Linked DNA regions of Coturnix japonica. The protein of the gene in region 1 purifies or fractionates together with the protein of each later gene. This does not show direct contact. Links are inferred from orthologs where the notes say so. Each region holds a gene or a part of one and is shown on either strand. Other genes may lie near its edges.

The links.
Region 2: the proteins of OFD1 (region 1) and CEP20 purify together in Homo sapiens (co-immunoprecipitation; 3 studies listed by BioGRID and IntAct, with this or other methods). This does not show direct contact. The link is inferred for Coturnix japonica from reciprocal best matches to the Homo sapiens genes OFD1 and CEP20.

Annotation. Positions count from the first base shown.
Region 1 is NC_029516.1:110,795,039-110,798,599, reverse strand, and holds part of OFD1 (oral-facial-digital syndrome 1 protein), read left to right. Parts: intron 1-395; coding exon 396-528; intron 529-3,520; coding exon 3,521-3,561. UniProt on the Homo sapiens protein: Component of the centrioles controlling mother and daughter centrioles length. Recruits to the centriole IFT88 and centriole distal appendage-specific proteins including CEP164. Involved in the biogenesis of the cilium, a centriole-associated function.
Region 2 is NC_029529.1:7,457,558-7,461,815, reverse strand, and holds the start of CEP20 (lisH domain-containing protein FOPNL), read left to right. Parts: upstream 1-1,449; 5' UTR 1,450-1,558; coding exon 1,559-1,586; intron 1,587-1,927; coding exon 1,928-2,125; intron 2,126-2,544; coding exon 2,545-2,629; coding exon of another isoform or gene 2,630-2,633; intron 2,634-3,479; coding exon 3,480-3,619; intron 3,620-4,258. UniProt on the Homo sapiens protein: Involved in the biogenesis of cilia. Required for the recruitment of PLK1 to centrosomes and S phase progression.

The DNA.
Region 1 (3,561 bases):
AGCTGTATGCATGAGAAAATGATTATTTAAAGGTATTACTGCTTAAAAGTAATTAAGAAAATTGAAATGTTTGTTTGTCTGTGGGAGGGAGGAGAGCAGGCAGGAAGGAAGGGTGCTTTTGGGTCACCAGCAGATCTGAAATGTCAGACTCTGTTTTCCAGACAGAGTTGTTCTGCTTTTGTCAGACCCGACACTGCTGGAAATAAACAGTACGAGAAAGTTCACGTTGCTTACATAATTGGGTGTTAGCAGCCCTGCGGTGGTGGAGCATGCACAGTGCGCTTATACATGGTTTGTGTAAACCAGACTTATCTGACAAGTAGAAGGATGAATAAATGATTAATACAGTCTGTGTTTTTTTGTTTTTTTGTTTTGTTTTCTTCTTTATTCTGCAGACACCAGTGACTCGTACCTCGCCTCTTCCCAGCAGAATGTCCATCAGGTGCTTTCTCCTATTCCAAAGCCATGCATTCTTTCACGTTCTGAGTCTCTTTCTTCCTCACCATCCAGTCAAGGAGAGAAAATCAGGTAATGTCATTTACAAAGCAACATTTGAACCTGCTTTTTAAGGAAAATAAAATAAAAATTCATGGTGGTAGCTGCTTTTATACTTCAAATAAGCCATGAATTTTATGTCATAGCTTCTCTATAAAGGTGGGTAACATTTCCGTCTTTAGAATATTCTCTCTGTTTCACATTTTCCATTTAAAACTTTTCATGCATTAGTTTTCTGATTAACTTTTGAATGCTTTGGGTGCTGTTGCTCAAAACAAGGTATGGTATGGATCTTAATGTTTCAAAAACACTGTAAGATGTAAATCTATAGTGTCAGTTAGGCCTTCTGTTTGATTTCATTTCTTTGCACAGTAAACCACTTCCAGACAGCTGAACAGAAGATTTGTCGCTAATAAATTGTGAGAAACAAGTAGACGTAAGTGTTATTCTTGCGGTTTGCTCTCATGAGCTCTATTGGGATTTGACAGATTTGACTTTCCAGTGGGCTTCTGCATCATCCGTGTACATATATGATCCTGATAAGGCCAACAGTAATTTCTGCTGATGTTGCTGACTAATGTTAAAATAAACCTCGTTTCAGAAGACAGTTGACTCTTTAGAGGGGTCCAGTTCATCAAGCTGTAACGCTAACGTGTTTTTTTTCCTACTGAAATCATATTAGTGTGCCAGCATAACATTTCCTGGAATAGGAATCTGCAGTCTTCTTTGCATGTGTGTGATAAGTAGCAGAGCTTTTCTCCTGTCCTTTGTGTTTTAAGATCTTTGCTGAGTAAGTGATTGGATGTTGTGTTGAGGGATATGGTTTCGTGGGAGCTATTGGTAATAGGTGAACGGTTGGACTGGATGATCTTCTTGTTTTTTTCCAGCCTTGGTGATTCTATGATTCTGTGATTATAAATGAATAACTCTGAAAAATTAAGCCGTGCAGGAGTCTTCTGTTTTTCCTGTCTTTCTTATTTCCATATATGTATAATTCTTCTGTAACTAGTGGTTACCAGTGCCTTCACTTTCCAAGACTGAAAATCTTGATTCTTCATTAAAAGCTCAACTGTTTAGTATCTAAGGTGTCATTTCCTAGGAAAAGACACTTGAGTCAGTGTCTTGCTGGCCATCATTCCAGATTATATTACTGTAGAAAGATGGTTGTGCTAGGGCAGCTTTAGTGGTCATTCATAGGCCTCTTATATTTTCATGCTTAATATGCGTTTAGTGTAGAGACAATCTCTCTAGTTAGAATTTAGGAAGAGCTTTTATGTTTTTGGCCTTGAAAAGAAGCTATTGAGATTTTTAGGGACTGTGAGATTAATTCTGACATTGGTGTTTGCCTTCCCGTGGCTCTCCTTTGTCTGTTCATTGACATTTTCTACAGCGTGCATCAGGTTTGCTGTATTGTTGTGACAGAACTTAGAAAGGGAATGTTGAGTGGTGACCTGCGTGCTAAGGTTCTATGGGAAAATGCTCCAGTGCTGTGAGGAAATGTGCTTCTTTGAAGGGTGTTGGAGAGCCTGAACTACAAAAAGGAATAAACTGTGGGAACAGTAAAGCAGCATGACCAAGTTGTGTTGCAGAGAACAGGCGCGGGTCTGGCAGTGGGTGGTGGCTGCTTTCTTGGGTTCCTTGCGACAGATCAAGGGTGTGTGGTCCCATTAGCTTTCTTGGACTTCCTGCTTTCCCAAGACATCTTTAAAGGGAAAATGTTGTTTTGTTTAGGATTTTGAAGGGTTTTTGTGCATTGCGCTATTTACTGTTGCTTTAAGTATCTGAGAAATGCCATGTGTGGGCTTCTCCTCTGACTTACTCCCATTATTAGGCAAAAGCCACATTAGTGATGCTTACTGTGGGATTAGTTTTATGACCTGAAGATTTTAAGTGACGATGGGAACCTAAGTGGAAAGAAAAGGAAAGATGCTGTTATAACACCAGTAAACCATTAAGTTAGGCTTCTGTCAGTGGGGGAGAACAACTTCTCCTCTGATCAGGACCTTCTTGTTTATTTATATTTCAAAATATGAGCAGTATGAAGGAAACCAATAAATACAGGCAGGAAGACTGGAGTTATAAGGCAGATGAATTATCTGACCGTTCCTTTTTCATATATGGCTGAACCTAACTGAGGCTTGTTAGTGGTTTTAGGCTTAAAGTAATTTTATACACTAACAAAATAGTTCAGATGGTGGCAGTTGCTTTTTGTTTATAGTTTAATGGTCATTTTGGGCTTAACTCTTGGGATTTATTTGGTGTAAATGGAGCAGCCTACCAGCTTGTACTGAAAATGTCTCATTATGGGGGGTATGGTTTGTTCGTTCTCTGCTTTTAGCCCTATGGAAGGCCTGAACTGCTTAGAAATTCTAAGCACAAACATATTTATGGAAGGGTGAAAAGCAACAGCTGGTGTGTGGTAAGCTCCTTTATACAGCGCCACTGATGAATTGGTGACCTGCACTACTTCTGCTATTCTGATTCTGGTCAGTTTAGTAGAAAGGTCACGTGGGAGATGCCGTTCTTTCACATCATCTTTCTGATTAGATGAACGGGGATTTAGAATGAGGGCACTAACCCCATTTCTTATTGAATTTTCACCCCTCTGTTTATGTTTTGCCGGACCCATAATCCTAATACATTTCAAACGCATCTGTTAAAATGACATCGAAGTGGGAATTAGTTGAACACAGAGCCAAAAAGAGGCTTTCTATTTATTTATTTATTTTAATTTCAGTTGACTGCATGTCACACTGTTGCATTTCTGTTGTTTCAGTCCGATGCCTTTTATGTCATGTGTAGGTCTTGGGGAAAGGCTGTGGGGGGCAGTGCCTTATAGCAGAGAGTTGTCATTCGATAGAAGTTAGAGGAGTGTACTTCAATACATAACTTTGGAGGCAGAAAGCTGCAGTGTTTTGCTTGCATGAGTTTTACGTATGGTTTAGTGGGTTGCTAATCATGCAAGTAAACCTCTTTGCTTATAAGTTGTATTTTCAGATGTTTACCTTCTTCCTCCTCCTTTCAGGCTTCCGAATCAACGCATAGATAACCAAGATTTCAGTGATA
Region 2 (4,258 bases), on another chromosome or scaffold:
GGCCGTGTGTGCCACGCGGGGCCGCTCCGGGGCTGGGGGGGGTCAGAGTAGGAACGGGCTCGGCTCCCGCTCGGCGATACCGGCACAGCTTCGGCTCCTGCCGCTCACCTGCGGGTCGCAACTGCCGCCCCGGCTCCCGCGGCACCGAACACGCGCTGCCCGCGGGGTCCAACCGCCCCGGGATCCGCGCTGCCCCTCGGGAGCCCCGGCACCGACCGGGGAAAAGCCGCAGCAAAACCTCGTCTCGTTTTCAAGCGTTTGACTTCCCAACGTGAACCAGTTCGACTGGTTTCAAAACCCTGAGCCACTTCTAATTGTTGCTAGCGGGAACTGAAACTGAACCAAAACAGCTTCACCAAAACGGCTCCACCCGCAGTTCGCACTAAAATACGCTACTAGTGAAGCCACCCGCCGCCCCGCGGTGCAAATCGATGGTCTCTCGCTCCGCATTTCAGTGCATCAGTTCAACCTGCAGAGCAGCCATCGAAGTTAGAGACAGAACGCCGCTTTACAATGTTCTTTTACACCCTAAGCTGCACCTTGTTAAAATATCCACAGCGCTGCCTTCATGTTGATTCCTCAGATTTATTTTTATTAAGGGTTTCTGCCCTGTTTTGTACACTACATTCATCTTAAAGCCCTGCTGGGTGCACGGGTGGGTTTTGGTGCCTTGATGCTCACTACAGCACCTGTGGAAATAGCTGACATATCTCCTGCTGCCCCGAGCCTGTCAGCGCTGCCTTTCCTCCAGTTTAATCTGCAGTGCTTATAAAGTTAATAGCTCTCACAATCAATAAAAGTCACCAGTTCCACTTGATAAGATGGAAGAATTTTTTTGTAGTACTTGATAAGAGAAGCCAGGAGAAATACTGCCAAATAGATAACACAATCTGTAAGATTTCTACTCATCCTCTGTGCACGACAACACAAGTTATTTCTCTTCCAGTTGGTTCCACCTCTATTAGAAACTCCAACAAAAATCAACAGCAAAGATTTGAACTGATTTGGGAAATGGTTCATCATCCACAGAGCCAACAGTCAGCTCCTCAGAGCACGGCGAGGCACCAAACCTGCCCCGGAGCCACCACAGCCCCACACAGCCCCGGCAGTGTTACAGGCGGGTCCTTCTAAACAGAATCTCGTTTTTGGTCTGTGGAACGTTCATTTTTGAGAGACCTCGAGCAAAACTCTCTATGGATGGACTCTCTTAGCACACTAATAAATACTCTTTGAAATTAGAGGGGAGAGCACTACAGCAATACCAGAGCGCCCTTCCTCAGCCTCCGCTCGCTGAGCAGTCAGCAGGCGCACACAGGACACCAATGTGAGAGTAATTCCGCACACACATGTGCTGCCTGCTATTACCCTGCTCGCTATTTACCCCTGCCTGCCCTTCCCAGCGGACATCCCGGCAGCACAAGGGACCACAAGCGCTAGGAGCGGCTCCCGTCACACCGGCCCGCCCTCAGCCCGCCCAGTCAGCGCCTCAGAGCCTGCGCGGTGCCCGCCCGCTGGGGGCCGTTGGCCGCATCCGGGTCAGGGCGGTGGTTGTTGTGAGATGGCGACGATCGCGGAGCTGAAAGCAGGTGGATGGAGCGCTGAGGGGCTGCGGGAGGGACGGCAGGGCAGACAAGGGTCGCTCCGAGCCTTAACGGGGCTGCAGGCTGCTGGCTGCTCGCCTTGGGGAGTGGCGGAGCCGTTTGTTGCTCATTGAAAAGCATTTGAAGCATCCCCCATGTTTCTTCAACGCCCACACCTGTAGGCAATACCGATCTGTATCTAACAGTGTTGTCACACAGCGATCCGTACACGGGTGTGGTTTTCTTAATTTCATCACGAGTATCCGGGAATGGTGTTTGTATTGCAGGGGGGTGAATGCTGCTCCAGCGCTTTTGGGTTTATATTAACTGAGTTTTTATGGTGACAGTTTTAAAGGACACGCTGGAAAAAAGAGGAGCCCTGGGGCAGATAAGAGCCAGGATCAGAGCTGAGGTGTTCAACGCGTTGGATGACCAAAGCGAACCGCGGCCACCGCTGTCTGATGAGAACCTGCTGATCAATGAGCTGATCCGGGAATACCTGGAGTTCAACAAGTACAAATACGCGGCGTCTGTGCTCACTGCAGGTACTGGGCTGTGCGTGGTGTCATCGCTGCTGTCATTACTATCCACCGCCTGGCTGGGTAACTGAAGCCATGCAATCAGGTGGGAACAGGCTGTGTGATCTTGGCTAACCCTGGAAACAAACAGGATACAAACAACCTTTGCTGTGTTATTTGCAGCGTAACACCAAATTATACCATTAGTTTTTAAGAAAATGTGTTCTCAGTTGCTTATCCTTGAGGTAAATAGAGTTTACATTGACGGATCAGATGATGGAAGAGCAAAACAGTTTGCCAGCAGCCTACAAAGCCAAAACACCTTGCATGACTTGAGAGCTACAGCATTTAACTGGTAGCTCTAATTTATATCTAAAGTTGTTAAGGTCTGTAATTGTCCTTAGATGTGGTAGGTAATGACATTTGCTGTATGATCTGTTTTCCAGAAGCTGGCCAGCCTGAAGTGCCCTTGGATAGACAGTTTCTGGTCAAGGAGCTGAACATCGTTGAAGATGCGAATGGGAAATCAGTGTAAGGATTGATTTGGGAACACACGATGTACCCTGCACGTGTGTCTCCACAGTGATTGTATAAATCACATAGAAATGTTCAGTCACCAGCTCAGTATGACTGGATCACACAGCTGCTCTAACCATGCTGTGTTCAAGCGCACAGTGTCAAGCATGGGGCTGTTTTCAAACATCCTCAAAAGTAGCATTAAGTTCTGTGAACGCTATAGAATATGCTCACTAGCTGTTGTAATTGTGTGGCTGAGCCTCATACCACCTCAGTCTTTTCAGTCAGAAGAAAACCTGTTCTTTACACATTATTGATTTGATACGCAAAGCTGTAAAAAGATTATTGCGCTGTGAGATAAGATATAAATTCACAGTGTTCTGATGCAACTGGGTTTGTTAGGGTACAGAAGCAGGTTTAGACATGTTTGGTGATGCCCTATATCTTGGGCCCACACAATCTGTCTCATGCTTAGTAATAAATGTATTTTGGGATACGTGGTGGTGCTCAAGCCAATAGCCCACTGATCACATGTTTAATTTGCATGACAACATGGCTCCGTACCTGTTCTTGGTATGCCCTGATTCTTTGCTTGCAAGTGATCTGGAGTTCAGCTGAGAACGTCCCTTAGTGCAAGCTATGGGGAGGGGGTGGTCTTGAGGGGTGGCTTGTGCCTGTGCTTATTTATATAATTGCATTTAGCATAATGAATTTTAAATAGCTACTCTGAAGATATCTGAATGTTCTTTAGAAGTGAACATTAGGATGTAAGAACTTCTGAGGAGAAGCTGTTCGGTTATTTTTTTCAAATGCTCAGTAGTTAATATATCTCATAGACGGCTTTTGTGATTTTTGCCTTGAGCAGACCCCTCTTATATGGAATTATATCGCATTTCTTACATCGTGGTAATGAAGAAAGTACCCAGAGTACTCATCCAAAGGTGTCGTTGCTGAGTTATCCAAGGCAGAACTTTGCCAAACCATCTACTGAGAGGAATCAGAAAGGTGGGTGTGAGTATAGGGTCATCTTCACAGGAGCTTTATTTGTGACTTCATTTTCTATGAGCTGGGTTTGCTGATAACTGTGTAAACACGTGAGTGCGCACAGGGTACTTCCTTCTCTGTGCAAGGAAACCTTTTCTATAGAGAAATTTCTGCAGTAGGACATTGTTTATACATCAGAATACCATTAAACCATGTAGGACATTGTTTATATGTCAGAATACCATTAAACCATGTGACCTGACCATCCCTCTTGCTCATATATTCATTTAAGAATAGCCCTACAAAATCTAACTTCTGATTTCTAAAACTACCTCTATGTTCCTTTACTTAAATAAGTGTCCAACTGACACAGCTTCTTAGGTCTGCTTCTCTTCTGTTGGTATGTTAATGTACTGCATACAAATCTGGTTGCCCAGCGGAAAGATGATGGATATTTTACTGGAATGGATATTTTATTTAGAAAGCAGGCAGTTTTGAAAAGCAGGGATAGCAAAATGTGTAGAATTTTTTTGCAGTGTAAAAGTTACTGTGAAGCTCTTGTTACCATGCGGTAGCTGTAGCTATCTGTTATACTAAAGGGAAGCAAAAAAAAACCCAAATTGTTTAGCTTTATTCTTTCAATTCTTTTGGACTGTGAAA